Linked DNA regions of Mus musculus: regions 1 and 3 are each reported to be linked to region 2. Evidence: microRNA targets listed by miRTarBase, many of them from high-throughput screens and not tested one by one. Region 2 holds a microRNA gene; each other region holds the end of a gene's coding sequence.

Region 1 (10,534 bases), not on the chromosome of region 2:
TGCTTCCTGCAAGAAGCCACTACCTGCTGAGCAGCTGAGCTCGCTTTCCTGGCATACGGGGGATGGGCCCCCCACCCTTTAAAAATCAGACCCTAGAATTAAAAGATTGAGCCTTGATCAGAGAACTTTGTCTTGGCTCCTTATTTCTCTTGCCATCCCCAGCTTTCCTTTCAGGGACCCCTAGCTGCTGGCGGCTATACAAAAGGATCAGGCCAACCTCTTTATTGTGGGATGGAGGAAACAGTGTCCCCAGGTTCAAAAGGAAAGACAGGGTCTTGAGTCAACTGCTGGGCTCTTTTTTAAAAAAAATGAGACAAAACAACAATAACACCATCTTTTTATAGAAAGATGAAATTCTGAGGGTTACCCTTTTTTCCTATGACCTCAAGTGAAGGGATTTTGTCATTCCTTTCTTGGGTCCATGTTCTTCAGTGACATTACAGAGTCATTCACACAGGACACACCTCGGGTTCGGAAACAAATCAGAGGCACCTACTCTGTCACGTCCATCTCTGGTTTCTTCAGTCCTTTCCCTCCCCATGATACCAAAACTTGTCTCCTTCTCCTTTTTGAAACATAGTTCTTATTCCTTCCTCCTTCTCCTCCCCCACCCTGCTACTTCTCCCAAACACCCAAAGACACAAGAGGCATGAAGTTTAACTCCTTCCGCATTTATTGGAGAAAACAGGCAGAAGGTAGGGAGAGGGGCTCTAGCGGTGGCCAGTGGAGCAGCTGGGGTGGGAAGACTGGGCCTGGCACATCTCACTTAGCCGCAGGAGCCGGTTTCTCCTCAAGGTTCATTAAACTGCTGAAGAAGTTCACCAGACTAGTTCCTGCTGACCTGACAAGGGGTGTCAGCTGCTCGTGTGTCTTCTCAAAGTATGCCCTGGGGAACGGGAGGAGCAGAGGTTAGAGTCTTTGTTGGTGATGAAGGTCAGAGCAGACTGACTAGGGTCCCCAAATAATATACCCTGGTATACCCTGATATAGCAAAGCCTGTTAGAGGCGGAGTGGGTAGGCCGTCCATGCAGCAGAGGATCAGACTCTGCAGACTGGAGTCCAAGGTCCACCTCTTGCTGCCCTCATCTAGGGTAAGGAAGGGATTTTTCTCCCCAAGTTAAGCCTGAGCATCCCTAACTCCAACCCCTGAGTTAAGATTCCTGGGAGACTTCCCTCCCTCCCTCCCTGAAGCAGTCCTGTAGCCCTTTGAGTTCTCTCCCAGAGACTTACTTGGCCTGGCTCTGAATCTCTGAGGTCTTGGCCTTCTCCATCAAATCTTTGCCATAATCAGTCATGCTCTGAAAGTATTGAGTGAACAGGCTCTGCATATCCGGTCCGTCTGCCTGTCTCTTAACCAAAGCTCCTACACAAACATAGATCACAGTCTCTGCATGTAGACTGCCAGCAATGAATCCCGGTCTCCCCTCACACCCCACAGGACCCACCCCAGCTTTTAGCCCCTTCCCCAAATTGGTGGCCTGCTACGTATTTTCTGTTGGTGGTTTTGAGTTGGTTTGGGTTTTTGGACTTTAGAAAGAGAATAATCTTCCTGTTGAGTCCACTGGTTGATGCACTCAACCTATACAAGAAGCACAAGAGAGTTGGGCAGCCAAGACTCTCAGTACCTTCTTTCCTTTGGTTTCCCCCGTATCAAAACCTCACCTTCCAGGCTACAGATGGTGACCAGCAGTGCGACCATTGCGAGCAGCTTCATGATGGCAGACTATGGCCTAGGAACAGTGCTGCTGGTGAGAAAGAACACTGCCGTCAGAGGGGCTTCAGCCCCTTGCAGGGATTCCCCCCCACCCAGATGGATGCTCACTCTAACTTAGCTCCTTCCCTCTCCACAATTAAAGTCCCATGCTCTTTGCACGTTGCCCACCCACAGCTCTGTTCCCTCAGCATACCGATTCTGTGCTGCAGTCCTTCCCGTCTACTCTGGGCTTGACTGGAGGTAGGGGCTATATACACATATACTCCCCCACCCCCACCCCGTCAGGTGATACGGAGAATGGCAAGTCCAGAAGGGCAGAGATCAGGCTGGAGTAAACAAGGGTTAGACATGGACAAAAGGACAAGCAAAAGGGACTCTTGGTGTCACAGTGAACCACAGGGGCATAAACTCTAGTGAAGGCCAATGTCTGCTTATGATTTATCCTTTTGGGATCAGGAGTTGATGGGTTTATATGTATCCATCAGGTAATCAGGATTCTAAGTTATTTTTCTGGAAAGCTCCAACATGCAGCTCTTAGCCCTCGTCATCTTTACCTTATTATGGACAAGTTTCATTTCCCCAACCCTTCACCCCTTCATAGCAATTTGGCAGAGAGGAATTTGGGAACAGAAGGAGAAAGGAGCAAGGCACAGTGGCACAAGCTTTTAATCCCAGCCCCGGGGAGTCAGAGGCAGATTGGTCTTTGTGAACTTGAGAGCAGCCCGATCTATATAGTGAGTCTCAGGACGGCACAGAGAGATTCTGTCTCAAAGGAAGAAAGGAAGAAAGAAAGAAAGAAAGAAAGAAAGAAAGAAAGAAAGAAAGAAAGAAAGAAAGAAAGAAAGAAAGAAAGAGGAAGAAAGAGGAAGAAGGGAAATGAATTGAAATAGGAGGTGGAAAGGAATGGGGGTTATGAAGATATAAGTCAGAACAGGTACAACTGCCTCTGTCCCTTTTTGAGTTAATGTGTAATGAGATAGGAAGGGGGCATGAACACCACACACACAAACACACACACACACACACACACACACACACACACACACACACACACCCCTCACGGACATACAAAAGACACACAGAGAAAATGCTGCATTGGAATTATTGTATTTGATAGGTCTCATGAATGAAATTCCTTTAAAATAATCATGAAATACAAGTCCATTTATGGGTTCTCATCAATGTGTGCTCCCTGCCTCCAAAAAACAAATTCAGAAAAATAGCCTCTGCCCTCCTGCTCCCAACCTCAGTAGTTAAGAGGCTCTGTCCAAATCAAGGTCAAAGGGCCTGGACACTTGATCCCCTTATCAGTTAGGTCCTGGCCCCTGGCCCAGTTCTAACTGTGTGGAAGGACAGAGGTACATTCGCTAGGCCCAGGGCTCTCCAGTGGAGTCAACTCAGTAGCTACTGAAAACATTCCTATCACTCACCTTTTTGCCACCAAGCTTACCCTGTGTGTACTGGAATATTAGTGAGAGATACGGGGGTGGAAGTGTGGAAGCTAGGGAGGGAGAGTGCAACCGAAGACCAAGAAATCTGTTTATTTTAGTTATGTGTTTTGCTTCCACGTGTATCTGTGTAAGAGTGTCAGATTCTCTGGAACTGGAATTAAAGTTGTGGGTGCTAGGATTTGAACCTGGATCCTTTGAAAAGTAGCCAGTTCTCTCTCTCTCTCTCTCTCTCTCTCTCTCTCTCTCTCTCTCTCTCTCTCAAACACACACACACACACACACACACACACGACTCTCTCTCTTTGCATGTATAAATGCAAACAACAGAAGGGTACATCAGATTCCATTACAGATGGTTGTGAGCCACTATGTGATTGCTGGGAAGTGAACTTATGACTTTTGGGGAAGCATCTGAGCCACCTCACCAGCCTCGTCACTGCTCTTACCCACTTCGCCATCTCTTCAACCCTTGCATATGCAATCTTGCATATTTCCAGTTGTCCTCTTGTGGACTTACCTCTAGTGTCACATCACTGCTTGCCCCTGGCCCTGGGGGGAGGAGCGTAACTTCAGGCTGCGGTTGTATTCTTAGATTTTATTTGTCTTTTCTCCATGTAAATAATAACTAGAGAGGGTAGCTGCTTCGGAAGCTAGTTCTGCCCACAACTCTCTCCTCGCCCTCAGAACTCTCACAGTCATTTTTTTTGGGGGGGGGGGGTCGTTGAGACAGGGTTTCTCTGTATAGCCCTGGCTGTCCTGGAACTCACTTTGTAGACCAGGCTGGCCTCGAACTTAGAAATCCGCCTGCGCCACCACGCCGGGAAGGCAAGGCCTGTGAATTCCAGCGGGGGAAGGGGGGACGGCGGGGGGCGGTAGAGGTCTGTTTTGGGGGGTTGGATTGTGAGTAGCAGTCCTTTGGAGGTGGTATAGAGTGGAGAGTTGTGGGGATTCTCCAGCCGGCTTTCAGGAAGGTGGAGGGTAAAGTGAACCACGTCTTCACAACCCCTGAGTGTGATATATTCATAAAATAGGTCTTCAAACTATAGTTTCACTTTTCTCACGTTCCGGTTTAAGGAACTCCATTGGTCTAATAGGCAAAATGCTCCCTCTAGTGTCTTGAATGCTCAAGAGTTTATCTCGACCTTGAGGAGGTTGGGCGGTCTTAAAAGGGGGCCTTCCACTAACGTCTAAAGGGCCACCCACAAACTCCCACTCGCCACTGCACTCGGACTGAAGCCCTGGGGCCTGCAGGCCTGCCACTCTTCTGTTTTCTCCTCTCCTATTGGTCACTAGTAAATTGAGGCACCTTTTTCATCATTGAGTGGGTTGGGTCTTTGGGCGCTTCCTTTGCCCATTTCCAAGATGGCGCCTACGGACATGCTTGGAATACAGGGTGAAGCTGCAGTTCTGCCATTACTCAAGATGGCTGCCCCCATCAAGATGACCGGGTGTGCCTAGGGGGAAAGAGGCTGCAGGATGGTCTGAGATGGTAAGGGCTAGTGTTCCATTGCGGGCAGACCCTTGGGACGTGGGAATGAAGAACAGAGAAACTAGAAAGTCAGCGGAAGCCTGCGGTAGTAGTTAAGACTAGATAATGGGAGAGCAGACGGGGGTGACAGGTGGGGGTGAGGGATCAACGATGGGGCGGGAGTGTGCCCGGGATTCAACTTTAGCATCGGTGTTCTCTCCCCCTACTGTTCCTTATTGCAGGTCTAGCATTGAACCATATGGAAGTTTCTGAAACTGGGGAGCCCGATGATGGGGGGTGGAGCCCGTGGGGGATAGAGGGAGCAATAGATTTTATCCCCAGGCTAACCCCAACCCCTCCCTGTCCTCTGGATTAAAATGGGGAACACCCTGGGCCTGGCACCGATGGGTACTTTACCCCGCCGGAGCCACCGTCGAGAGGAACCGCTGCCCAACCCCGGGAGCTTCGACGAGCTGCACCGGTTGTGCAAAGGTGAGACCGCAGCTTTTGGGTGTCTCAGGATGAAGGGTCATAGAGAAGGGGAGGGTCCTGAATGCTGATGTCCAGTGATGTGAACAGCGAGGGGAGATCACAGCTGGAGCATCCGGCAGTCAAAAAGGACCAGATGTTCAAAGCAGAGCGTTTTGTTGCAGGATTTGAAAGGAGGTCATTTCCTCCAGTGCTTCATATGCAATTGAAAGGGGAGTCCGTCTATGTAGTTAGGGGTCCTTATCTGTGCATGTTCCTTCCCTTCAGATGTATTCCCAGCACAGATGGAAGGCGTGAAGCTGGTTGTCAACAAGGTTCTGAGCAGCCATTTCCAGGTGCTCCCACTGGTCTGGCCCCTACTTACCCCCCTCCTCCCTGCTTGTCTCTGGATCCTCTTTACACCTATTAGTCCTGTCTTGGCTAGGCTATGTGGGACAAATGAGGGGAAGTGTGGGGTCCTCCCCCCCCAATGCCTTTAAGCAACAAGATGTGGGACTTGTTGCTTAAAGTCCAGTGGCCCTCTGCATGCGTTGGAATAGTTGAGGTTTTAAAAAGCCCCCTCTGGATGGAAAAAAAGGTCAAGGGTGGGAGACGGGATTGAAACGAAATAGAATGCTCTGTTCTCCGTTGTCTCCTCTTTCCTCAGGTGGCTCATACTGTGCACATGAGTGCCCTGGGCTTGCCAGGGTACCACCTCCATACCGCCTATGCAGGGGACTGGCAGCTTAGCCCCACAGAGGTGAGGGCTCCCCCACACTCGCGTCAACTGTGTAAAACGCACATGGACGTAGGTCTTGAGAATTTGGAAATGTGTGTGATCAGCAACTATGTTCTCAGTGCCTCTTCTGAACGCGAGCTAGTCCTGTGCAAAGCTGCCCGAGTTTGTCTTTGGCGTCCACCAGGGGGCACTGTGAGATGTTACTGAAATCCCTTCCTGTTCATGTGCCAATGGATAGAGCTACCTACCCATCTCAGCCTTCCTGTCTACGCTCCCTAACAGGTGTTCCCCACTGTGGTGGGGGATATGGACAGCAGTGGCAGTCTCAACGCCCAGGTCTTGCTTCTGTTGGCAGAACGGCTGCGAGCTAAGGCTGTCTTCCAGGTGACCCACAGTTCCTGCCTCCATCCACCGAGGCACCTCTCTTTCTCCTCCATGGGTATCCTGCCTTGGGGGACGCAGGGGGAGGAGGAGCAGAGGCAATACTGAATATAAACAGAGAGAAGGGTATTTTATTTGTTACTCTCCCCACCCAGACACAGCAGGCCAAGTTCCTGACATGGCAGTTTGATGGCGAGTATCGGGGAGATGACTACACAGCCACTCTGACCCTGGGAAATCCGGATCTGATTGGGGAATCAGGTGGGGAACTGGGACGGAGTTCTGGGGGTGGGGGGACCTTTTTGGCTAGGCTAGGGTGGGAATGACCAGATGGTAAGAAACTAAACCTGACTCCCTGACTCTTGCATCCTCTCTCCCTGACAGTGATCATGGTTGCTCACTTCCTGCAGAGCATCACCCATCGGCTTGTGCTAGGAGGAGAGCTAGTTTATCACCGGCGGCCAGGAGAAGAGGGGGCCATCTTGACTCTGGCTGGGAAGTACTCAGGTACGAGATCAAGTGAATGATGGTGAGGAGGAGAGACTCGGGGCTTTTCTGGGGTTCCTTTGCCTGTATCTACGATGGTAACTGCCTTTTCCCTCTGTTCTCCCCCACCCTGCAGCTGTCCACTGGGTAGCTACGTTGAATGTTGGGTCAGGTGGGGCCCATGCAAGTTATTACCACAAGGCCAATGAACAGGTAAGACTACCAAGCTCATCTCTTAGCCTAGTGAGTCAGTCAACCAGAACCTTCTGCCCCTCGAGTCTTCCCAGGCTTCTGGCCTATGATTCTTTCTGGCCTCATCTGGTCTACATTTTCACACATGCATTCCAGCTTGCTTATACCCTGCCAGAACTCCTGTGGGATTCATGGCGACGGGTCCTCCTCTCGTTCTTGTCCCTGCTTCTCAGGTTCAGGTTGGAGTAGAGTTTGAGGCAAATACAAGGCTACAAGATACGACCTTCTCCTTTGGTTACCACCTGACTCTGCCCCAGGCCGATATGGTGTTTAGAGGTGAGGGTTTTGAGACACTTAGAAGTGGTGAGGGATTTGGGGACATGCAGGGAGGGAGGCTCTACCTTACTTCTGTTGACTCCATACTCCAAGTCTGGCTAATCAACCGGGTCAATATACTTTTCCCCGGCAGGCTTGGTGGACAGTAACTGGTGTGTTGGTGCGGTGCTGGAGAAGAAGATGCGTCCCCTGCCTGTCACCCTAGCCCTTGGAGCCTTCCTCAATCACTGGCGAAACAGATTCCATTGCGGCTTCAGCATCACTGTGGGCTGAGGTTGTCCTGGGAGCAGCCTCTGCAGCAGCTGGAACCTTTGAGTCTGATACCCTAGGGCCAGAGACTAACTTGGTCCCTCTCCAGAGCCTACCTTGCCGGATGACTCCTAGGTCCCATGGGCAGAGTGGGGGGGACAGGACGATGTCCTCCTCAGAACCAGAACTGCCGGAGAGTCATTTTTTCCAGTTAGGTAGCGGGTTGAGGTTCCCAATACTGCCATCAGCCCCACTATAATCTCCCATAAGCTGTATGGCTCTGGAGTAAAGGAGAGGGACTACGGGATGTGTCTGGCTTCCCTCACCCTACTTTTTTTGTTATTTTTGTTTGATTGAGATATTACTACTCCTTCTTCAAAGCAGAGAAATCTGCATGGAAAGAGGGAGCAGAAAAAAAAAAGCCTCCTATCCCATTTCTCCTGGTTTCTCCATTCCTCAGTCTTCCACTCCTTCCCTCGGGAAGGGAGGATTAAAGAGTTAAATCTCTGGCCACAGAAAGACCAAAGAATGGGCCCACCCATTCCCAGAAGGAACTCTAGTCACCTCCTAGCCCCGAGGCTTCCATCTTTCCCATCCCCTGTGTTTCCGGAGAACAACTTTGGCCCTGTGGTTGCCCACCTCCCTTCTCTCTGTCCCCCACCCACTCCACGCCCCACTGATGAGTGCACTAAGAGACAGTGACTGTTCAGCATTTCATTGCCACTCCCAAGCTCCTTCCTGCTGGTTCCCGTGTGGGGTCCAGCGCTGTACCCTTTCCAGGCCAGTGTATCCCTGGGGGTCTGGGGAAAGGATGCAAGCCTGGGCCTCAACTGCAAATCTCCCCGAGCAGCGGCGTCATAGCAGACAGTTCCTCCAAGCGCTGAAGTTCATAGGAGTATGCATTGTTTATACTCCGGAGGTCAGCCAGCAGGCCCATCAGCTTTGCATACAGAAACCTTTGGAGGAAGGAGCAGGGTTACCAGGGAAATAAGGCAGCTGGGAGTCCTGTCCTGAGGTTCCTATCCCCTGGACCACTCCTCAGAGAGGCTAAGTCTGAGCAGCAGATGCTCTGGAGCTACATCTTGGAAAATCTCAGACATACCCAAGAAGGGCCTCTATCAACACTGTTCCTTCATTGTGCCTAGTTTTTCCTGAACCCAGGGCTTTGAGGTCAAGTGTAAAAGAAGTTCTTGGCCAAAACGTCAACTGTATAGAATCTGAAGGTGAGGCCTTCTAGATCCAGTTCTAGAAGGCGGTTGTGTTATTCTATAGTATAAAGCATCTCCCTCGTAGCAAACGGATTCATTAGGGAATGAGCAGAGCGAAGGTGGCATAGATGTCTGAGCCTGCACTGTTGAACTAGGCTCTGTCCGTGAAAGTGTGACGGATCCTAATTTCAAGGGGACCTAAAACTTCAAGGAATTGACCCAAAGGAGAGGAGCGGGCCAAAAGAATGAACAAGACTTTGAAATTTTGACTTTAGTTTGGAAAAGTCGGAGAGGTGAGAGGTAAGGAATGTCACCAGTCTCAGGAAAGCTGTCACACCCAGGCCATGAGCTACGACTTTGCATCTCTACTGACTGAAAACAACAACAGGAGCCAACAACTTGGAAAAGGGAGACAACACAGCAGTCTGAGCAATCTGGATACTGTGTGCGATGGATGGGGTGGTCCGAGGGAAGGTCTAGATTCCTAAGTACCTGGTTTCCCAAAGGAAACAACAGTAAAATGCATCCATCCGGAGCTCAGTGTTTCACAGATCCCTTCCTACCCCCGGCGCAGCCTCCGAATCCGCTGCCTCCTTCCTCCCTACCGACTTTGGAGCCGAGACTGTTGTTCCATAATGTGGTTGTTCAGAATCAGCGCCATCTCCTCTTGTAGCTGATCTATCTCTTCTCTTTGGGTAACTCCGGGTCTGTCTGAGAGAGGAGACTGGGAAGGGCAAGGTGGCAGGGGCCACAGATGGGGGCCTCACATTGTATAGGGGCTGGGGATGGTATAGATAGACCCTTGCTTAGGCTTGAAAGCTAGAAGGTCAGGGAAGGATTAAAGGGACCGAGAGTTGGGTAGAGGTGGAAGGGGCCAGAGTTCCTCAGCTTTGGGATGATCCTCACCAGGGGAGAAGAGGGCCGTGGCAGCCATGAGCACATACTCAGGCTCCTGGAGATGCAGTCCTTTCAGGTTTTTATGGAAGTGGAGGATCGACTCCAAAAACTCGTACTGGAACCCTGCTGTGAGAGATGGTAGACTGAGGAGCCTCCTGGCCATTGCTCCACACCTCATACCACTGAGATACATACCCTGGACCGTTCTACCATCTCACCATGGACTGCGTCCTCCATCTTGTAGCAAAGAGGCCCACAGAAGAAATTCTCTGTTTGAAGACAGAACGTAGTGTTGAGTGAGATATGCAATATTTCCACAGCCGCTCCCTTGAGAAGGGAGATCTGGTCCTCCATGGTTAGGGACCTGTGTCGGGTAGAAAACAAGGGCACTTTAGACTTAGGTCTATCCATCAAAAAAAAGGTCCAATCGGCACACTGCAAATGTAAGACCCTAGCACTCAGAAGGCTAAAGGATGTCATACCAGTCTTTAATCGGAGACCGGTCTGACTTACCGAGCGAGCACTTGCTTCCTGAAAGGCCATGTGCTACTCACCGGAAGAGCGGCAGATCCTTGGTGAACTTGATGATCTGTTGCACCATAAACGTGTTGATATCTGCAAAGTGTGTGAGCAGAGGCAACACGGGGCCCCGAGGCTGGAAAGGCCGGTGATGCATGAACAGATAGGCCGGAGGCTGTAGAGTTCAGAGCTTTAGTAAGAGGCCCCAGCCTTGGCTGCCCTTGAGGGCTCACCAGGCTTATCTAAGAAAGGTTTTTTGCTGAGGAACCTGCCCATCGTGGGATTCTGGAGATCTGTTCTCCATCAGGGCATAGCCTTCTTCTGTGGGTTACCTCCTCAGGTACCCAGGTCACATCCTGGTTAAGTTCTCACCTTGAACTGCACAAACTGGTCAAACATGGGGCCCACATGGCGAGTGTGGGCCCC
Region 2 (9,777 bases):
AGTTATTAACCCTATCAATAAAAGCCCTTGCTGCAATTCCTCTTTGTCTTGTTAAATATGTCACCTCAAACTGCAGATTCTTTCATGCAGTCCACACCTTGAATATTGTTTTCATGACCTGTGTCCCTCAACTCTTGTCAAATTCAATTGTTGTCTACAGAAATTTCCCTATCCAAATGTGACACTGTCTTCAAATTGTAACATTGGATACTACTTCCAATGAATATAACATCCACAGATAACAAAATCCTGTTTGGGGGTATACAATCTTCTCCTTTTCTCTGTTTTTGGTCTGTTTATCACACAGTTCTACAGCTGCCTTCGGATATCTGTATTCAGCATCAGTAAGGACCCGGTACATTCTGATATAAGGACTAACAAATGGCTTCAAAGCCTCATGTTTCTGCTCCCAGGCAGCTAAGTGAAATCAGTTGTTACTGAAAACTCTGTGCAAAATTTAAAATCTATCCTCGATGTTTTAAATGGACATGGTTTATAATATTATTGACCGACATTTGGACAGTTAGTAAATGATCTGATCGAAATAAGAGCTGACAACGTGTATTGTCTTCATTTTTAGAGGACGGGTTTACTTTTTGAGATTAGGAGTGAACTTATAGTTATTGTGTTTGGGATACCCAGGAATGTCCCAGCTTTCAAAAGAAGTGGCAATTAAGTCTGCTTTCCTAAATAGTAATAAAAAAGCATTTTAATAATTGTACATATCTCTAAGCTATGGAGAAATAATTATTATACTATGTGTATATATATATATATATATATTGATTGACAGTTAAAGATTATGAATAGTACAGGTAGTTACATTTTAATTTTAAATAAAATGCAAGAGGTGATGGACACATGAAATGATTTCCCATTATAGTATATTAAAGTGTTATTTGGAATTTATCAAAGAATTCAAGTTTGAAGAAAATGTCTTTATAGATTTTCAATTACATGAGGGTGATATATGACAGAGAAAAATTAGTATTTTGCTTATGCTATTAGTAAGCAAATTTGAGAATTAGAGTTTATCTTAACATTTAACTTAAATGCAATCCACACCAAAGCCAATTTTATAAAATAGCTACTTTTACAATGTTATCAGATAAGGGAAACTTATGACACTGATATCAACGAGAGTGCACACACACACACACACACACACACACTATGATATATATCCTAAAAACAATAAATGCTTTCAGTAAATTAATGTATATTTGAGTACCTACTATATGTCAGATGGTGTAGTAGTTACTAAAAAAGTTTGTCATATAATATTCGAGTTAAATTTTCCACACAAATATTGATCCTACAAACAGAATAAGAGGCTAACAACATTGTACTCCCTTTTTAAAATAAAATTAATTTTAAGAGTATAAATGTTTTACAAACCTGAGTGCTTACTCACTTACTCTCTCTCTCTCTCTCTCTCTCTCTCTCTCTATATATATATATATATATATATATATATATATGTGTGTGTGTGTGTGTGTGTGTGTGTGTGTGTGTATTTGTGACTTTGAACAAAGTTGCTTGCAATTTGTACCCATTAGGCAGAAATACTCCTGAGACCATTATTGTTTAGGGAATGTCTAGCATATCATATGGTCACAGAGATAAGGAAACTTCCAAGATAACACATTAGAATGAATTTTTCTTATATGAATAAATGTCAAGTTCAGGGTAAAAAGGTTTTGGGAATTTTTCTATTTGCTTCATGTTTTAATAATTAAGCAATAATAATTAAGTAAAAATCTTGAGAATCAATCTTTGTTTGATATAAATGTTTCTTTAGTAGCACTGAAACATCTCAGCAATAGAATTCATCTGCATTTCGTCTATATGTGAAAGGAAGAGTAAGATTCAAACAAAAGTTTTACAGGGCTGGTTTTAGCTTTTTATATTGGATTCTGAAAGCCCTAGAAATGGGAGGCATTGAAAAAGTCTAAGCAGAGAACTTGTACTGAAGAAGCCAATGAGGATCAAGCAGCCATTGCAACCAGATTCTTGTTCATTATAGAGTCTGAGTTCAGAGGAAGACTTTCTAGTTTTTACTCCAATGACATTTCTAGCATAGGATATCCCATTTCCTTATGGTAAGTATGATAAGAATTAAAGAAAAGTCTTTGAAGGCTTTCCATAGGACTTAACTTTGAACTTAATTTTTTCATTTACTTTGCTTTGTAAATACAATCAAAGCCTGTTAAAATAAAAGATATGAAAACAAATTCATAAACCTCAGTTCAGAATCATGCCATAACATGAATGCTTTGACGCTTATATAAAAAACTACCCATATAATTTAAAAACTTATTCTACATATTCTAATTAGGTGGGAAATGATTTTTCTAATGATACTTTCTGATAAAATATTAATTAATTAATTAATTAGTAACTTTAAATTTGTGGCTTCTTTGAGCTAGTACTCAAGTAGACCATACATGCTTAATAGAAAAAAAGGGCATCATTAATTACTTATTAACATGTAGGATAACAATGATAAGAACAAAAGTTAAGAAATTATTAATTTTTAATGACATACAACTGTGACAAAAATCGTACCATCTATTTTTCATTCAAGCTGTAAATACGTACTATTTTTGAATTATGTAACTGTTGCCTTCACTATATACTTTGCCATCTCTTTGAAGTATGCAGTGATACAAACTGCATACGAATCAAGAATAGAGTATTACTAACTAGATTATGATTCTGTCTTTTTAGTTTGAAGTTTAGCGGGTGAGATTCAGGACTAATTTCAAGGCAGCAAAACAAATGTTACAAGGCTTGCTTTACATTCTTACAATTGAGTATTGAATTAGTGGAAGGGTAGACTTTTAGATTTGAAAAAACTTTTGATTTCAACCATCCTGATATATGTGTATATTTTATGATACTGTGTATATTTTATCATACACATATAGTATGATACCTTAGAATGCTTGTACAGATATCATTATATACTTAATCATTATATATTTAATATATATAATTATATATTTAATTTAATAATGTAACCTTTGAAGATCAGGTTCTCTTAGTTAACTTATATCATAATTGATCAGGATATAACAGAATTCTGATTTGCAATATAACTAGTTGCAGATAATGACACCTGAACAGCAATGCAAATATCATAGTGTGTTTCTTTTATTGCTAGTTTACTCAATAATCAACTAATTAATGAATTCAAAACACTTTTCAGGGAAATGTAAAACTTTTTGATTTTTCTTTTTGTCCTACACTTTTGTGTATTGATTGTTATGCTTTATAGCTGAAAAGTGTATTTTACAGCATTGTGCAAAGTGTTATGAAGCATTCCTCAATTCAGTTCAAGGCTTTTAAGTAATGATACAACATACAAGTACCCTAGGAGAAAACAAACATCACACACACACACACACACACACACACACGGAGAAGACTGTGTTACTTAAAACTTATTTATCCTTTATGTTTGTAATTGTGTAAGTACCTACAACTAAGAAAGGCTTTAAGTATTCTGAGGTGATTAGTAATGTTTTTAAAGCAAACTTACTATGTAGAATGCATGGCTCTCTAGAATTCTGAAAATAGCATTTTATCATTTCTAATACAAAGATGGCTACAGCAGTTTAGTGTCAAGAAGATGGTGAATAATTGTGGTCCTCACTTTCCTGTTATCTCTTCTATGGCCTATCTTTTTCTTCTGTTCTACACAAAGTACAAAAATATTTCCTACCCTTCCCATCACATTCACATCCATTTTCTATTTCTTCTGTTAAAAATTTACCATCACCAAAATGAAATATAATAAGAAAAAAAAATTGATGGAATTTTCCCCTTCTACCATGCTACTTGCTCAATGCTTTTGTTTGTTTAGACTGTAGTCAGGAGCTTTTGTTCTAGATTCACACTGGTGTAATACCAGGTATTTGTTCTAGGGTTGACAATGGCTTCAGAAAATAGCTTGGTCCCGGAGTATAACTAGTTACTGAATAGTATATTTTGTGAAAGTCACTAATAGAAATTCTTTTTAGTGAATTAGCATAGGAATCAACATGGACGTCTGCATCTTTAGTCCTGAGTTCAAGTTCCCTGACATGCTGCAGCAACACCAGAACACAATACGTAAACACAGAGAAAATAAGCAAGTCCCATGTAAAGGCCAGTGTCGTTCAGACACCTTACCTGAGATTTAGTAGCAAACAATTAAGCAAGATGATCTTTCTTACACCTGTTTATGAATATTATGTATTACAGTGTGAATTGAGTGTTCACAGATATCATACACCCTGGATGATATCACACATCATGGATTCCAATGCTCTCATCATCAAACCATGCATTGAGGCTATACTTTTTTGAGCATTTAGGGAGTCTTATTTAAAGAAAACTTAATGATGAAAGAAACATTCGTAAGTTTTTTCCCATTTCTTTTCATTATACCAGAAGTGATGTTATCCAGCAAACAAAGAGTCTAAGCAATACCTACAATTGCTTAAGGAAATAGAAGTTCTCTTCATTTCTTAAGGCAAAGCAAATATTATAAAGATGGTGCCTATTCTTCTGGAGCGTGGGCCTTAATGGAAAAATGATTGTGGCTACTTAGTGTCTGTGTATTCTAATGTGAAACCCACCAACAATCTCTTTGCGCTTCTTTCCTGCTGCCTAGAAATACAGATAGTGTAAAAGCACTGAGCGGCTACTTGTGATGTAATTTTAAAAACTGTGCCTCTGATCTAAAACAATAGGCTGTCTGGTCACAAAAACAACTGATCACACTCATGTGCAGTTAATAAAGTTTGGGTTGATTTGATTCCCCCCCCCTTTTATTTCAATGCCTGGATTGGGGAAATGGCCCTGCCCCAATAATCTAAAACAGAAACCAGTTCAGTCAGACTGACACCTAATGGAAACTTTTATAAGTAAATAAGTCTTCAAGAGAAAAATTTAAACCATGCAATCAGAAGAAAATCAAAACACTTCGTTTGTCATAGCATGGGGAAAGGCTCCCTTCTCTTTCAATTCCTATTATCCCACTCTAAAACTTATTATTCATTTATGAAGCGATTTCAATCATGAGCTGAAGCGCCAGTGCCGAAGAACTGAATGAAATAGCTTATTTTCAAAAGAGAGAGAGAGAGAGAGAGAGAGAGAGAGAGAGCGCTTGCTTATTCCCACAACAAATGATGGAATATGACATCTTCCATTTCTCCTTCCAATACCAGTCCCTCAGCTATGTCTGCCCTGAAACCTTCCACACTTAGTCAACCAGATGAGATTACCTTTCCAGGCAAAGCAAGCAGCTAGTCCACACCAATTCTCTCTACTTTTTTAATTTCCAGGGAAACAACAGCACCCATAGACACACTGAATGTGGTTAGATACTTAACGAGCACAATATTTAAAAGCCCTTAATCACCAACTGATGGATCCCTAAGAAAGGCAGTTCTTGGAACAATGAAGGAAAGAATGTTAGTTACATAGTTAGTTTTCTTAGTAGTGACAGAATGTTGCCTGCAAAGACAGCTTCTTTTTGCTTCTTCACCCCATTGTGATAAATGGGCTCATTCCCAGGAGTCTGAACAGGACCACACCCGTTTCCCCTCTTATCAACATAGCTACAATACAAGTGCTATCAGTCTAGATTGCTTGGGACTCATTCAGGGGGCAGACACATAAGGACAGGGAGAGGAAAAGAGAGGTCTGGCATGGGGATCTATCATTATAGATCTAGCGCTGGAAGAAAGGGAAAGACCTAAAATGGGAAAGGCTGTTTTTCCAGGGTTCTTGCAGTTTCTCAGGGGGTTCAGCTTGCTCTTCAAGGCAAGGACCCAGTAGAGAGACCTCAAGTCCTGAAAGGTGAATGACAAATACTCCAGAGGAAGAAAGTGTCTGGGCGCTGCTGAGCTTAGAATGGGTCCCGGGAACCCCATAAGAAAGAGATGCTTTCATTTCTCCAGCAGCTTCGACTTCTCTGGAATTCAGTCTTCTTCGCAGCCATTCCCTCAAGCAAAATCAACCGGCAACGCGCAAGGGAGGAAAACTGGTCTTAAAGTCTATCCGCCTTGGTAACCTTCTGGGAACCTGAATCACTCTCTTCCCAGGCTTTCTCCTCCCACCTTGGAAGCACCCAAGGAACCCGCAGCCTCCAAAGAGTAAGAAAAGCAAACTGCACAGCCAAGAGGTCCGCTCACAGCTAGGGTTGAGTTCTCGAGCCTCTGCCCTTGCCTTCCACCACGATGGACCATATTTTCCGGCTCCAAGGAACACCTTAAACTCCTGCTAAGTCCGCTTGCCCCGGGAATGCCCCGGCGTGATGGAAGGGATCGAGCCAGCGATTGCTTGCTCCTCGCTAGGAGGGGACCCATCCACATTGCTTTATGGTCCATTAACATTATAAACAGACAAGAAGAGTGGAGGATTTTCTCTTCCTCTCATCACTCTGCTGCAGACCCGAGACTGAGAACATATCTTGATTTTTGTTGATGTTTGAGACTCATTCCAAAGGCAGAGGTAGGGAAGGCAGCGCTGGAGAAGTGTCCCAAAGAAACTGGACATCTGAACAGTCACTGCCTGCCCCAGCCTCTTTCAGAAAGGTTCCAGCTCTGTGCCACAGTGCAACCAATCTCATTACCAGCCTGCTTCTCCACATCTTCGCGGAGAATCCAAAAAGAAAATAGGGGTTCCTCAGAGACCCACAACACTTGTAATCAGAAAGTTCCACCGGGACCCAGCCCCCTGTTCCCCGCCCCTTCCTTAGCAAGGTTTCCATGTCTGCTTGCTGAGCAGCTCGGCGGGTCGCGGGTGGGGCTCCAGCTCCGCCCCAGGCCAGAGATTTGCGAAGTCACGAGCTTGGACAAGCTTGCCGGGGGGCACCTTCGCACACGGACACGCCCTTTTGGCTGAGGCATGCCCCAGGCGACCCTCTCCCTGCTCTAGCTCAGCGCTCAAAGATGCTGCTAAACTGGTCCAGGCCTTTTAATCCTCTGCAACTTTAGAGAATCTTTCAGATCCGCACTTTGCCAACCCGCCCTCTACGAGAGAGAGAGAGAGAGAGAGAGAGAGAGAGAGAGAGAGAGAGAGAGAGAGAGAGAGAGAGAGAGAGACTACTCAAAGGGCCCCACAGCCCGGGCTTCAGAGACCCTCTTCCTTTCTCCGCCTCCCATCTCCTCCGCCTCGCCCCCCGCCCCCCCACCCCGACGCGCACCCCCCCCCCGCCCCTTTTCCTTCTAAAAGCGGTCTGGGTCACCAGAGGAGCCAGGAAGATCCAGAACGAAACCACCCGAGGAAAAGAAAACATAAAAAGTGCTACCTTGGCAACCGGGAGCTTTTAGTGGCCAGCTGGTGGGCTGGGAGGGGCGGCCGCTGCCCGCCTGCCGCTGGTACTCTCCTCGACTACGCGTATTCTTAAGCAATAACAACGTAATCCGTATTATCCACCCAAGAATACCCGTCACCGAAGAGAGTCAGAGGGCCAAGCTGCCGCTGCCTCTGCCTCTGCTACCGCTGTCACTGCTGCCGCTGCCGCTGCCGCCACCGCCGCCGCCGCCAGAAAGAACTCTTGCTGCGGAGCCCGCCCCTGGCTAGGGCTGGGCTGAGCTTGACCGGGACCATAAATCCATAACTCGATTTCCCTAAAGAAGGCTCCAAAGCTGTGCTCTATTGCTTCCTGCCCAGATCTTCCAAATGGCTGTTCTATTTCCAATTCTGAAAGACAAATCACAGGACCAACCACTTAACACACAACAGACAAGTGCTTTCTTTCCGCGCGGAGCAGAGAGTATGTGCCAAGGATCTTTGGGGAGCGATAAGTAACCTTCAGTTTACCTGGTGGTCACCCAGCGCTCTCCTTGGTATTTGCTCTGCTTCATGCGGACTCTGGTCATGACCAGCTCACTCTAGGTGCTTTGATTGAGTGTCATGGCAGCGAGCGGACCCTGTAGAAGACATGCATAGTTAAGCACACAAATATTACAAATGTATTTGCCTGGCTGGCTTTAGGAAGAAGTGAATCTCAGATCAAGATAGGGTCATGCATTGATGGAATTTTCAACAGTGTGTTTTGGAAATGCATGTTCTCACAGAAAATAAGCAGTCATTCAATTTATTACTTGAAATCAAATACTTATAGATTTGCAAACATAGGCATCTCCCCATTGAAGGCCCTAGAGCTATGTACAACATAATGGTTTTTAAAGGGAGGGAAACAGCTTCGAGGCACAAAATAATTAAACCCATTTTCCATACTCTGAACTCACTAAGTTGACAAGCTGGTTGAGCTTCTAGGGTTTAAGGGTCATTTAGAACTGCCAGGGTGTTTAATTTCTCAGCCCACCCTTTCAGTACTCACTATGAATACATCACTGTGCAGGGTTGAGAACACCTTGACAGAAAGCCCTTTGAAGCTCTGCCCTAAGTAAATAATTTTAAGAAGGAAACCCAATAAAAACTCATTCTCAAAGTGACTAATTTTGACATTAAGAGAAAAATCCCCCATTCTTTGGTGATCTACATAGCTCTTACTTGAGCAGCTTTGTCTTAAGACCCTAGAGTGGATATACCAATAAATGAGGGGGGTATTGTTCACTAAATAAAATGGACCAGTGGAACGCCACCACCCAAGACATGCTGCAGCTCCATTAGAAAGTTCTCAATTGGTTTCTTGCTTTACTTTCAAATACATGAAAGTACATCTGTGTGAGTGGAGGGGAGGAACATGGAAAGATGGCAACAGACATGATTTCTGAAATTATGTAAGTGCAAATAGCTCTCCATCAAGGAGTAATTATGTAACAGTCTCTCCCACCACCACAACTCATCTCTGACTGACCTGGTTGTAATTTAAGGTACTTAGGATGTACCTGCTCTCATTATTATTTTTTGATATAACACTTCTCCAGGTAGACCAACTCATCCTTTTCCTGACACATCACTTACAAGTAGAAAAACCAACATGAATTCCAGGTCTTATGATTTAATGTTTGCCTGAAATAACTCAAAAGAAAAATAGTACTTCTCACCGACTATAGCCTATCTTTGCAGTTATCTTTTTAGGTAACTCCATTTACCAAAAGATTCAAGCCAGTGAAACAATTAATAAATACTATTTTCTGCCATTACCCAATATAGATATAAAATGGAGCTTTTCTCTGGTACTACAACCAGTAGAAAAAAAATCAAGAAAGCTGACAGGTTCCCTTTAGCCTGAACTCCTAGAAACAAAAGCCCTTAGGGGAAGTAAGGCAATAGTCTATGAGCAACGTGTGCATTTCCTTCTTTACTCTTTTATTTAAAATCTCAACTGCCTCTGAAAGGAAAACAAAACACATTGCACAGATAGGATTTGATTTACTAAATGGAATGGTTTTCAAGTCAGAAGCATGGTCAAGGCACACATACACATACACACACCTCGCATACACACGTTCTCCTCATGCTGTAGAATCATGGCATAAATGCCCACACAGCTTTTCAATGCTTTCCAAGTTCTTTCCCTTAGTTTATCAGGATTACAAGAAAAATCACACACACGCACACACACACACACACACACACACACACACACAAGAACACACACATACACACACACACAAGAACACACAGAGAGACCCACAGACTAGCATGCTTTAAGAAAAAAAATCTGGAACAAGACAGGCGATAGGTTTTCTTCCTAACCAAGCAACAGAGTCAGCCCTTTCCCTACATACCAAATGCTCCACACTTCAGCACCTGGACCAGTGGACAGCTCAGCCCAAGCGGACAGCCTGCAGCACTCCCACCAGAACT
Region 3 (10,534 bases), not on the chromosome of region 2:
CTGGGGGCAGGCTCGGAGTGGAAGAGAGGTTGGTGTGGCATTTGTCTTGAGAAATGGGTGGTGTCTGGTGGGCAGGCTGGAGTCTCTTGAGTCAAGCAGGCAGCTTCCGATTTCATGGATGGTATTTTTGAAACAAATCTTGGGGCTGAGCAGGATACAGCCGGGCTGAGCTTACTCGTGGGGTAGCGAAGAGGCCTTCCTCCCCAGTAATCAGAAGGAAATAAAGAAAAACGGACCATAGATGTCCCCTTTGTTTCCTGAGCGTTTCTTTAGATGGTCATGGATTTTTTTTTTTTATGATAAGTCAAAAATTACACAGTAGTGGAGAAAGGTAGAAAACACACCCAGGCTAGCCTCTACCTTCTTCCTAATTCGAGGTCCTCTGTGCAGGCTTGGCTTGGGGGGGGGGGAGCCAATTACATATCACTGAAAGTGTTCCTGCGTTTTTGTTTTTTCTCATCTTTGCTCTGACTTCTATACAGGTGTTCCCCCAGGCCCCAGAGTAGCCTTCCTCCAACATCCACACAGGTATTTCCCAAAAGCCAACCCCACCCCACCCCACCCCTCATGTATGTCTTAGTGGAGAAAGTTTGGGATCCCAGAACTTGGAAGAGTCTGACGCAAGAGCACTGAGATTTGGTGGGGAGAGGGGTCCACGTGGGATGCAGGAGAAAAGGCTGTCATCAAACAAGATACCATCAAACAGAAAACTAGAATGTCCTGAGAGGGTTGGAGGGGGCATGGAGCAGAGGAAACCTGGCTAACCTTGACAGTATGGTGAACATTGAAGCCACATCCCCCCCACTCCACCCAGTCCCAAGCCGGGACCCCAGAAATCTCCCCACAAAAGGGCCTCCCCTACAGTTTCCTATACCTTCCACCCTGGCCTCTAGTGAGAAGTAATTTTGTTTTATGAAAAGTAGTTGCTTTTTATTGCCTGGGATAGCCTAGAGAGGGTGACCCTCCCAACAGGAAATTAACAGAGAACTCATTGAGGGTGATAATGACTGCTCATAATCATTCGGCTGATAAGTTAATATAACTGATTAATCAACTAATTATACAGTGCCCGAACACACCTACTTCCTTCAGCCTTCCCATTTAAAATAAGCAGGCTAAGACCAGGCGCTACGAGTGGGAAGTGGGAAGTGGGGAGTGGGGTGTGTGTGTGCTAAAGTTAAATTTAACCTAGGCAAGCCCCAGGCTGAAGGCACCATCTTAAATCTTAAGTCCAAATGTTCCTAAACCCCATTGGTTATTGTCCCCTGAGCAGTGTGTGAGTAGGTCATTGGTTAGGATCACACATCTCCGAGAATCTGAACTTCTACTGCCCTTTCAGAAGGCTGTGCACATGTAAACTACATTTTCTGTGTAATTTTCACGGGCTCCTCAAAAAATAGCCCTATAGAATAGCCAGTGAGCTCAGAGTAGCTGACCTTGGGGAGAGCAGGCTGGGCTGGGCCGATAGAGGGGTTGCTTTTCCTGTGTGGTGGCTCCTGAGTTGTTTGGTTATGGCACTGTCTTTCCAAACCTGCTCTTCCCAAGGCTCTCTGCCAGATTGGGAGAACTGGGAGATAGCTAGAGCTACTGCCAGGGTGAAGAATGCCTCTTCTAGGCACAGAGAGATTTAAAAAAAAAAAATCCTACAAGATGCTGGTTCTGGGGACTGAGATAAATGAATGACAGCCCCACAAAGGTGACCGGAAGGAAGGAAGGTCTACCCGAGGGTCAGTTTGGTGTCCATAGTGTCCTTGACACTTGGAGACTTTGGTGAGGCCAAGAAAAATGCTGGTGTGAAAGAATACAAGTCCAGGGTTGGCTCTGGGGTCCTGGGGAGGACAAACCACCGCTCTGGGGACCAGACAACTCAGCAATCCGAAACCAGAGCCCAGGTCATTAGCAGGAAACCAAAGTGCCGGGGTATCGAATTTCTAAAAGTGCCAATACTGGGCTGCCTGGGATCCTAGCACTGGTGCAGCTGGTGGTAGGGGCATGTGAAAAACCAGATGGCACCATCAGTCGGTACCCTGTTCTAAAGAATTCTTTCCGGTCCCCCTGGTTTTGTCTCCTATTCCTGAGGCTTAGACCAAAGCTGGGAGACAAGTCTTCAGTTTGGGTCCTCTGCACCTTATGGGGGTGGGGGTGGGGGAATGTGTGTGGCCTACAATCGCCCAGGGGCTGGTCCTCTGTCTAAGATCTCTGGCTTCTCAGCAGAACCCTGGTTTTTACTCCCTTTCTGTCTCTTGCAATTAAAGTCACATCGATGCGATGCAAATAGAGGACCTGAAAGGAAAAACAAAAACAAAAACAAAAAAAAAACCCAAAACCTGCATTTGCAGAGGTTTCTAGAAAAGGAACAGAACAAACTAGCAAAGTATAAACACGATCTTCCCAGAATCCCCACCTGCAGAGCCTGTGTCTGTGTCTGTCCAGCTCTAGGCCTTTGCTCCTGGCTAAAGAGAACAACTGTAGACTCTGGGGATCCCAAGGGGCATCTGAGCCTGGGAGCCTAGGACACTCAGCTTCGTCCCTGATCTGCCAGAAAGAGGAAGCCAGGATATAAACCTTGGGCCTGCTTGACTAACCACTCTAGTATTTGGTTGAGGACGAATTAATCCCTTCTACCTGGCATCCACAGGGCCTCAACCTCCAAGTCTTCACCTGGAGAGAAAGAAGTCCTGATTCCAAATCAAAGCCCTACTTTGACAATTGCACCATGGGATTCACACCAAAATTACAATCCTGACCTCTGAAGAATGGAAGCAGCCGATCCCCAAGCCGACCCACAATTTCTCTGTATCCGGGACTGCAGGTAGGGACACCTGAGTTAGGAAGAAAGGTTGTGTTCTGGGGCGCCAGCAGAGCTCAGGTTAACGACTTTAATCTGCCTGCGTCTGCGTACTGGCGCTTTCTACCACGGGGCCTGAAAATCGAACGCCCTTTACAGGGTTAATCGTGCGAGTGACTGAGGTCACTTCGTGGGTGCTTTCCCCAAGTGCACCAGGCCAGAGCGCGCACGCGTTCCCCCCTTGCAACGCCATCAATTTCTATCGTGGTTATTCTGTGTGCTTTGAACACCCACATCTGCAACATATATTTCTTGATTATACGCATCTTGATTATAAAACAACCGAGTGCGTTTTACATCCGGAACTGTCTCGCAAATGAAACTCCTAAATCCAAATTGGAAGGGACGTCCGCAGATGGAGCACACACAAGAACACGCAAACACACACATGGCTTTCTAACACCTGTGGGCCCCTGGGCTCGGAGTACCAGCATCCCACCGCTCCTTGTAGGTACCGACTTCTATGGCTTCATCTAGACAATATTAGGCCACTCCTGGGGGAACGCTGGGGGGGGGCACACAAATACTCCCCCATAGCTATTTTCTTGGCTGGCTGCCAAGAGCCCAAGTTTAGAAGCCGGCGAGGCAGAAAGTGTGCTGACGGCAAGGTTACAAGCGGTCTTATAGAGCCTCAAGGAGCCTGTCTGTTGGCTTAGGGGAAAGGTCAGATCTCTGGTTTTCCTCGAATGGAATTTTTTGAAAGGCCTCTACCTACTTCGAAACTTTCACCCATGCATAGGTGGATCTTAGGACAGTTCAGGTTCAGAGAGAGACTCTGTACAAGCCTACACACCGTACACCCCTCGCTAGTTACTACAGGACAACCTAGACCGGGGGCAGGGGGGCTGACTGCAGGGTCACGACCCCTGCCTGTGCCCAAGCACGCCCTTCGGCCCCTGCAATTAGCGCCAGGAGGTCAGGAAGAACCCGGACGCCTCTACCCACAGCTCTAAAGCCCAGCGAAGGTGACCTCAGCCCCTCCCGTCCGGTCTCAGACGCCAGCGCAGCCTGGAGCCGATCTTCCCCACTGGCGGGCTGGTGGGCGGGCGCCCGGAGGGTTCTAACCGGTACCAGCATTCATGACCTTATATCCACGGATCTCCAAGGCACTCCAGCCCTGCAGGTCCCCCAGCACTGCGGGGATGGGAGTCGCAAGGGGGGCTGGTGGTTGCAAGAACTCTGGTCTTCCTTTGTCCCTGTAGACGCGGCCGGGAGAAAAATAAGAAAAGTCCCAAACTTGGAGTTTATATAGTACAACAACAAAAAATCTGGACAAAGCGAAGTTGGTCTGAGTTGAGACTATGTGGGCAGATTGGTGTGTGTGTGTGTGGGAGGGGTGCGGGTGTCTCCTTTTATCTGCTACTCCTCCATCCTGGTTACCTCCTCCTGTATCTCCATATTTCCACACGGAGAGAATAAGGAACTACAGTCCCCCTCCTTGACTTTCCAAAAATCCCTTGGAAATCTCGTCTGAGGCCCACATAGGGATAGATGGAAGACTTGGCTCTTCTTCTGACAGTAGTGAGGTGGGGGCGGGGCGGGGTGGCTTTGGAGAGGGTATGTCAGACTGGGGTCGTGGGGGGGGGGTGCGACCAGAAAGGGGCGCAGAGGTGAAGACCTCACGTTCCAGAATCCAGAAGGCTCTGGGGTGCCTAGCCAGCCGCAGTTAGGCAGGGCGCATTCGTGGGTCAGACAGACAGGTGGCACTCGAAGCCAAGGAGAAAAAAAAAGGAAAGGGGAAAAAAAAAAAAAAAAAAAAAAACCAACCAACCCAGGCGCCGGCCCCGAGTGGCCTCCGCAGCCGCCGCCACCACCACCATAAAGCCCGCGGCGAGATTGCGACCGGCGCCAGGTGAGTAATAGGTACAGAAATTCAGAGAGATTGCGAGCGAGTCACCCCTGGTCCATCAGCGCCACAAGAGTTACACATTAACAGCACTATATATAAATAAGATACAGCGGAGATTAAAAGGAAAGAGGAAAGAAAAGAAGAGAGTCTGAGGAGGGGCCGGGGACAGGTTTGGGCACTGTCCCCAAATTTGGGGGATGGAGGAGGAAAGAGGGAAGAAAAATCCGACTGAGAAAGCCAAGCAAGTTTGGTTTGATTTGGTTTGGTTTCTGCTTTCTCCGCAGTTTAAGCCGAGCTATTTTCTCCTCAATTTGGGAGCTCGCGCAGCCGGAGGCCATGAGCCAACTACCACCTTCCCAGGGCGGACTGTGAAGAAGAGTTTTGGTCCCGAAGAGGACCGGCCTTTCCCGTCCCCATGTCCCCTTAAGCACTCTCCAGTCCCCTCTCTCCCGTTGTTTTCTCCTCCTCCCTAGACAGCTGGGGAGAAGCAGTGCGGGTCCCCACGTGCCTGGGCTAGAAAAGGGGGGCTTGCCCACCCCTCCAAGGTCTAGAGCTGGATCCTCTTCCAAACACAGGAGGGGAGAGGAGGGGCCCCCCTCATGACTCTCCATTCAAGAGGTGACAGGGACGTTGGGCCCGGCTGGCGGGCTCCGGGATGGGGGTTGGGGGCAAGTCAGCCGCCTGGCGGGCTCCAGCTGGGTCTTTGAGTCAAGGCCCCCAGGGCAAGAAAGTCCTAAGGGCTAACTCTAGAGTACCTTCCCTTGTAACCCCTCTCCAACACAACACACACACACACACACACACACACACACACACACACGCCCCCGAGAGGATCCTGGAGGGTGGGGAGACTGAAGAATGACAGGACAGGACAGAGGCTTCACTGATTGATTAATTGATTGATTGATATATGTATATATTTGAAAGATTCAAAGATAAATTGAACTTCAAAAAGATAGGTTGCCTAACTGACTCGGGACTGGTTAGGGAAATGAGATGGTAGCTTCCCCGGTGCCTTTTGCCTTGGGTGTTCCATGTGGACTCCGAAAGCACCTTGCCTCTCTCTCATGGTCACTGTGGAGCCCACTCCTGGGCCTTACCCACAGCCCTGAATGTCCATGGATAAGGGAGTCTGCTTGGCCTTTTCCTGTGCTAGATTCCGTGGGTGTAGCGGACCTTATTTATTTTGTTTTGTGATCCATGTCAGAAAAGGGAAAAACGAATTAAAAGCGAAAACCCCTCCTAGCTCTTATTTCCGGTCGGATTCCTGGGGGGGGGGGGGAGCCGACTTTGAACACAGGGTAAAAATCTTCTCCCATTAAAACTGAAGTATATGAAGTTCCTCTTTAGGAAACCTAATCAGGCCCCTTTCTTCTCCCGTTCTGCTCCCTAAATTAAAGGGAAAATATTTTCAAATCAAATGTGGCTCCCTTCGCCGGAGCAAGGGACTTGTTTTCAGCCTTTTAACTTGAGTGACATTTCATTTTAGGTTGCTGGGAGGGGTGGGGGTGGTCTTAATTATTATTTAGAGAGGAAGGGAGCAGACTGGAAGATCATCCTCGATCCGGCTCTGAAAGACAACTCTTGAAGAAATCATTACCACAACTTCAAAACTCATTTCAATAAAAATTTATTGAAATTTCAGTGATGTTTTTAAAGAGGGGGAGAATTACAGAAAACTCATCAAAGACTAAACACAAAATACTCCTTCTTGGGTTTTTTTTTTGTTTTTTTGTTGTTGTTTTTTGTTTTTTTTTTTAATTTTTTGTTTTGTTTTGCCTTTCATGGTCGTTTGAACCAAGTCCCTCTCAGTACACCAATCCAAAACACCATAAAGATGAACAATGAAAACCTCACATGGGTTAGTAAGATGCCAGAGTCTATGAAAAATTAGGACGGTTCTATGGTGGCCTCCGCAAGGCCGTTCCCCCCCCCCCCCTACTCACACAACAATCTCAACCCCTCTGGGGGTGTCAAGAGTTTAGGGAATTTCAAGTGGAGCCCGGAAGGGCCATTACCTCCCCAATTTTGGTGAAAATAGTTAGGAGTACTCCCGATCCCACCCCCTCCATCAGAAAAAAAAAAAAAAACTTTGCAGCCAGCTCTACTTGAAAGCATGGAGATGTGAATAAAGATGCCTAGGCTTGCTAGTGTGGATTAGCCATCTCCTGACCTGGAAATAAGACCCAAAAGGCAAAACAAGAATAAAACCTGACAGACACGCTCCTATTTACATCCAGCTATGTACAATTCAATAAATTAAAGTTTAACTTTCTGAGCAGTCATATTCCACCTATTTACAAGAGATATCAAATAATTACATAAATACTTTGTCCAATAGTCGTGTTTCCTCTTTATTATTATCTTTTAAAACCTTGTTATTGCATATACAGTTAAAAGAACTAATGGTCCAACAGGCACACGAAGCCCTCTACAAGCGCTCAGATAAAAATCAACTCGGTTGGTTTCATGCCCATAGCTGCCCCTTTTACCCCACTTCCTCCTGGTTGCCGCCTTGAGCAAGGTTGAGGATAATGGGACTTCCGTTGTTTTTCCATAAAAGGGGGGGGGGGCAAAATAAACCCAGAAAACTGTAACATGCAAAAAAGAAGCCAGCATCGGCTCTTAAAACATCACAATATTTAAAAACAAACAAACAAAAAAAGACAGGATTCCTTTAATATAGATGGGGCAAGGTAAGGCCCCTCTTCTCTCTGCCCCAACGAAAGTACTCAGCAATTGGTGAGTTTCAGTCTTCATAGACAGTTCCACAGGACTTCATCTCCCCCCACCTCCATATTGGTTTTGTTAGTTTGTTTAGGAGGGGGGATGTTTCCACTAAACACACGAAGGGGGAAAGATTCCGGTGAAGTCTCTCAAAGACCCGCGCTCCTGGCTGGCCTGGCTACCTTGTTCTTCAGCCCCGACTTCCATACCAGCCTGCACAAAAGTCGCTCTAGACACAAAAGCCTGTTTGCCACCACTCCTCCCGCCCCCTCAGTCCCGCGTTTCAAAGCAACAGCAGCCTGGTTACACAGCCCATGGTGGCAGGGCCTGTGGTATCTAGCATAGTCTCTGGAAAGGCTTTAGTGCTCCCTCCCAGACAAAACTGAAAGGGACAGGGCGGGGGTCACCCCATGTGGAAGGCCCGTGGTTTATTTTACATCTAACAAAGTGCACTGGCAGATTTGACCAAACTGGAATGGAGAGACCTTGGGGGAGGGGGCGATTTTGTTTTTCTTGTTTTTAAGGGGACCCGCTGCAAGACCTGTCTGGCTTGGCTTCCAAGCCACTGACCAGCCGCTGGATACTCTGCAGTTCGCTGGTAGCCGCCTCCTTCTCGGAGCAGAGTTTGGGTGACAAGGACACTGAGCCAGAGGACAGCGTGGACGAGCGGCTGTTCAGTTCCGACCCCGAGTCCACAGCCACCGAGGCTGGGCTGGCTGCCAGGGCGGCCGCTTTGCCGTCTAGGGGCCCCGCGGCGGAAGCCATTGATGGTAAAGCTGTGGCCAGCAAACTGCTGCTATCCGGCACTGGGACGGGGATGGAATAGGGGCTGTAACGCAGCCTGGGGCGCATGCTGTTCAAATTGAGGAACGGGTGGCGGTGCACGGAGCTGGAGGCGGCCGCGGTGGAGGCTGCAGCTGCTGCAGCCATGTATGTGTAGGGGTAAGGAAACAGGCTCCCGAAAGGCGACATAGCCAAGCCCTGGGGAAGAGAGAGAAGAAACATAGGGAGTTAGAGAGTGGGGAACCCTTCTCCTCCACCGCCTACTATCTGGGGCAAACCACCTGTTTTGGAGGAGTGGAGGGACACTTTTCCTGGGTTGCATGCTAAACTAAGGGGTTAATAGACTGGAGAGTTCCGTGGCTATTAAATCTTCCACAATATGTCATCTATGGTGCCTAACCCTCGGGGCTATTAACAAGTTCCCAGGAGGGCGAGCAGCTGCACCTGTTGAGTGGCTTCAGCGAGGGCTTCCACCAAAGAGGCTAGAGTTAAATTCTGGTGCACACAGTATCTTAGTATCTTCCATTCTCTACTCTAGATCTTTCCCAAGTAAGAAAATAAGAATGATGTGAAATTGGGTGGGTGGGTGGGAGGTGGAGTAAAAAGGTGTTACTTATTAAGATAGCAAGCGCCCAGCCTCGAAGGTTAGTTTCCAGGCAGGATACTGAGGCACTTGAGGGGGTGGGGCAAAAAGACCAAACAGAAGCAGAATTTGAATGCAAGAGCCCTGGGTGTGTCCTTTACCTGATGCCACTAGACTAGTCTGTTCTGGCTGCCCCTCCTCCACCTGTCACCTGCCTGTCTGGGGTGGGGGGAGAGGGCGGGGCAGTGCAGAGAGGTAGGGTTGGTGGTAAGGTAGAGGCTAGCCCTTTTCTCAGCTCCATCTTCTCCCAATGAGGAGGACCCTGTGTCTTTTGGCTCAGGCAAGGGAGATGAATATGCTCAGACAAAACAAAAGGTCGGAGTAGGCCAGAAAAAAAATACCAGAGAGGTTTCCTACTGGGTTCAGAGCCTTCTCCTGAGCACTTTCCTTGCACAGGCACAGCTGTCTGAACCTCTCTCTCTCTCTCTCTCTCTCTCTCTCTCTCTCTCACACACACACACACACACACACACACACACACACACACAAGCTTGCCAGCCCCTCCCTTCTTTGACATTTCCCACGTGTGTGCAACCCATTAACCCTTTAGAGATAGGCTGGGCTGTTTGGGAGTCGGGTGGAAGAGAAAGGCTTTGAACTAGCGAGAAGGCTTGCTCAACTCCAGACCAAATTCTCACCCAGGGAATCAGTGACCTCCCTTCCCCACATCTCTCCTGGGGGGGTAATAGTGGCTATGAGCCTCCAGTAAACCAAGTTGGCAGGAAGGAGAAACCAAAAGAGGTCCCTGAAGAGTCAGCTCATCCCAGGCTCTGCTCCACCAAGGGACCAGCTGTGTGACCTTAGCCAAGGGATTCAACCTCTCTGGGCCAGAGATGATACATCAAATGACCCAAACTTGTCACAAAGCTAATAGTGTGGAGCTAAGCTATTCACAGCCTAATTTACAAGAAGCAATTTAAAAAGGAGCTGGGGGTGGGGTGGGGTGGGGAGGGTAGGTTTCAAGAAGGCTCAGTAAGATAGATGCTACACCCTGCTGAGGGTCAATAAAATATTCTAATAGTTACTAGCATGGATTACAAGCTAACACTCCTAGTCAAGGGACTGGGACTGAGGCTGGCTTGGACCGGTGGGTGATAGGCGGGCAGGCAGGAAGCAATACCTGGGAGGCCAGAACGTGTTGTTGGAGGTGGAAGGGCAGGGTGGCAGCCGACGCCCCAGACAGTCCCTGCGCTGCGGCAGCCGAGGCCATGGCTGTGGATTCTAGGCCTGAGACGCCGGTGGATGCTCCGGATACTGTGGCCAGCAGGGGCCCCATGCCTGCAGCCATGCTAGAGAAGGCGCCGCCCATGGCGAACTGGCCCGGGTGCAGGAAGAGCGGGTGCCCGTTGAAGAACTGCTGGCCCGCAAGGCCTGGGGCGAAACCCAAGCCCGGGAGGGGCCCCTGCGCTAGGTGCGCGGTGGCGTCTGTCTGCACCGACAGTGGAGCGAAGGCGTCCTTGGCAGGAATCGCGCGCGCCTCATCCACCTTGGTGGCGACTGGACCCTCGCGCCCGGGACTCCTGCGCTCATCAGCTCCCGGAACTCGCGTGCTGGACGAGATGGTGGCCGGGCTATGGCGCGAGTCTGGCGATGCCTTGTCCAGACGCGCGGTGTCGCGGGCCCGGCTGGGCTCCGCGGGGAACAGCTGCGCCCTGGTTGCTGGGCTGCCCTTGTCGCGGCCTGG

The links. Region 2 holds the annotated microRNA mmu-miR-137-3p (UUAUUGCUUAAGAAUACGCGUAG, at 7,387-7,409, opposite strand). A microRNA usually pairs through its seed, bases 2 to 8, with sites in the 3' UTR of a target mRNA and lowers its output. Matches are read on the target gene's strand: a 7mer-m8 pairs with bases 2 to 8, a 7mer-A1 pairs with bases 2 to 7 and ends in A, and an 8mer does both.
Region 1: the mRNA of Nr1i3 is a reported target of mmu-miR-137-3p. The part of its 3' UTR that is shown has no 7-base or 8-base seed match.
Region 3: the mRNA of Tbx3 is a reported target of mmu-miR-137-3p. Seed matches in the 3' UTR shown: 7mer-A1 at 7,076-7,082.

What each region holds. Positions count from the first base shown.
Region 1 is chr1:171,216,495-171,227,028 of GRCm38, reverse strand. It overlaps Nr1i3 (nuclear receptor subfamily 1, group I, member 3), which reads right to left. Exons shown (of 9, transcript NM_009803.5): 4 at 10,481-10,534; 5 at 10,144-10,283; 6 at 9,808-9,953; 7 at 9,599-9,715; 8 at 9,298-9,403; 9 at 8,184-8,440. The coding sequence ends at 8,311. Tomm40l (translocase of outer mitochondrial membrane 40-like) reads left to right here and starts at 4,515. Exons shown (of 10, transcript NM_001037170.2): 1 at 4,515-4,654; 2 at 4,876-5,125; 3 at 5,390-5,457; 4 at 5,769-5,861; 5 at 6,123-6,224; 6 at 6,377-6,482; 7 at 6,606-6,728; 8 at 6,844-6,920; 9 at 7,133-7,235; 10 at 7,369-9,226. The coding sequence starts at 5,011. The coding sequence ends at 7,508. Apoa2 (apolipoprotein A-II) reads right to left here and starts at 1,975. Exons shown (of 4, transcript NM_001305549.1): 1 at 1,908-1,975; 2 at 1,663-1,742; 3 at 1,231-1,363; 4 at 650-886. The coding sequence starts at 1,714. The coding sequence ends at 763.
Region 2 is chr3:118,431,533-118,441,309 of GRCm38, reverse strand. It overlaps Mir137 (microRNA 137), which reads right to left and starts at 7,453; the gene lies at 7,381-7,453.
Region 3 is chr5:119,680,502-119,691,035 of GRCm38, reverse strand. It overlaps Tbx3 (T-box 3), which reads right to left. Exons shown (of 8, transcript NM_011535.3): 7 at 9,971-10,534; 8 at 6,312-8,405. The coding sequence ends at 7,944. Tbx3os2 (T-box 3, opposite strand 2) reads left to right here. Exons shown (of 3, transcript NR_040416.1): 1 at 1-28; 2 at 2,639-2,812; 3 at 4,982-5,948. Among named protein-coding and RNA genes, the nearest start is that of Tbx3os2, 5.4 kb to the left of the region's middle.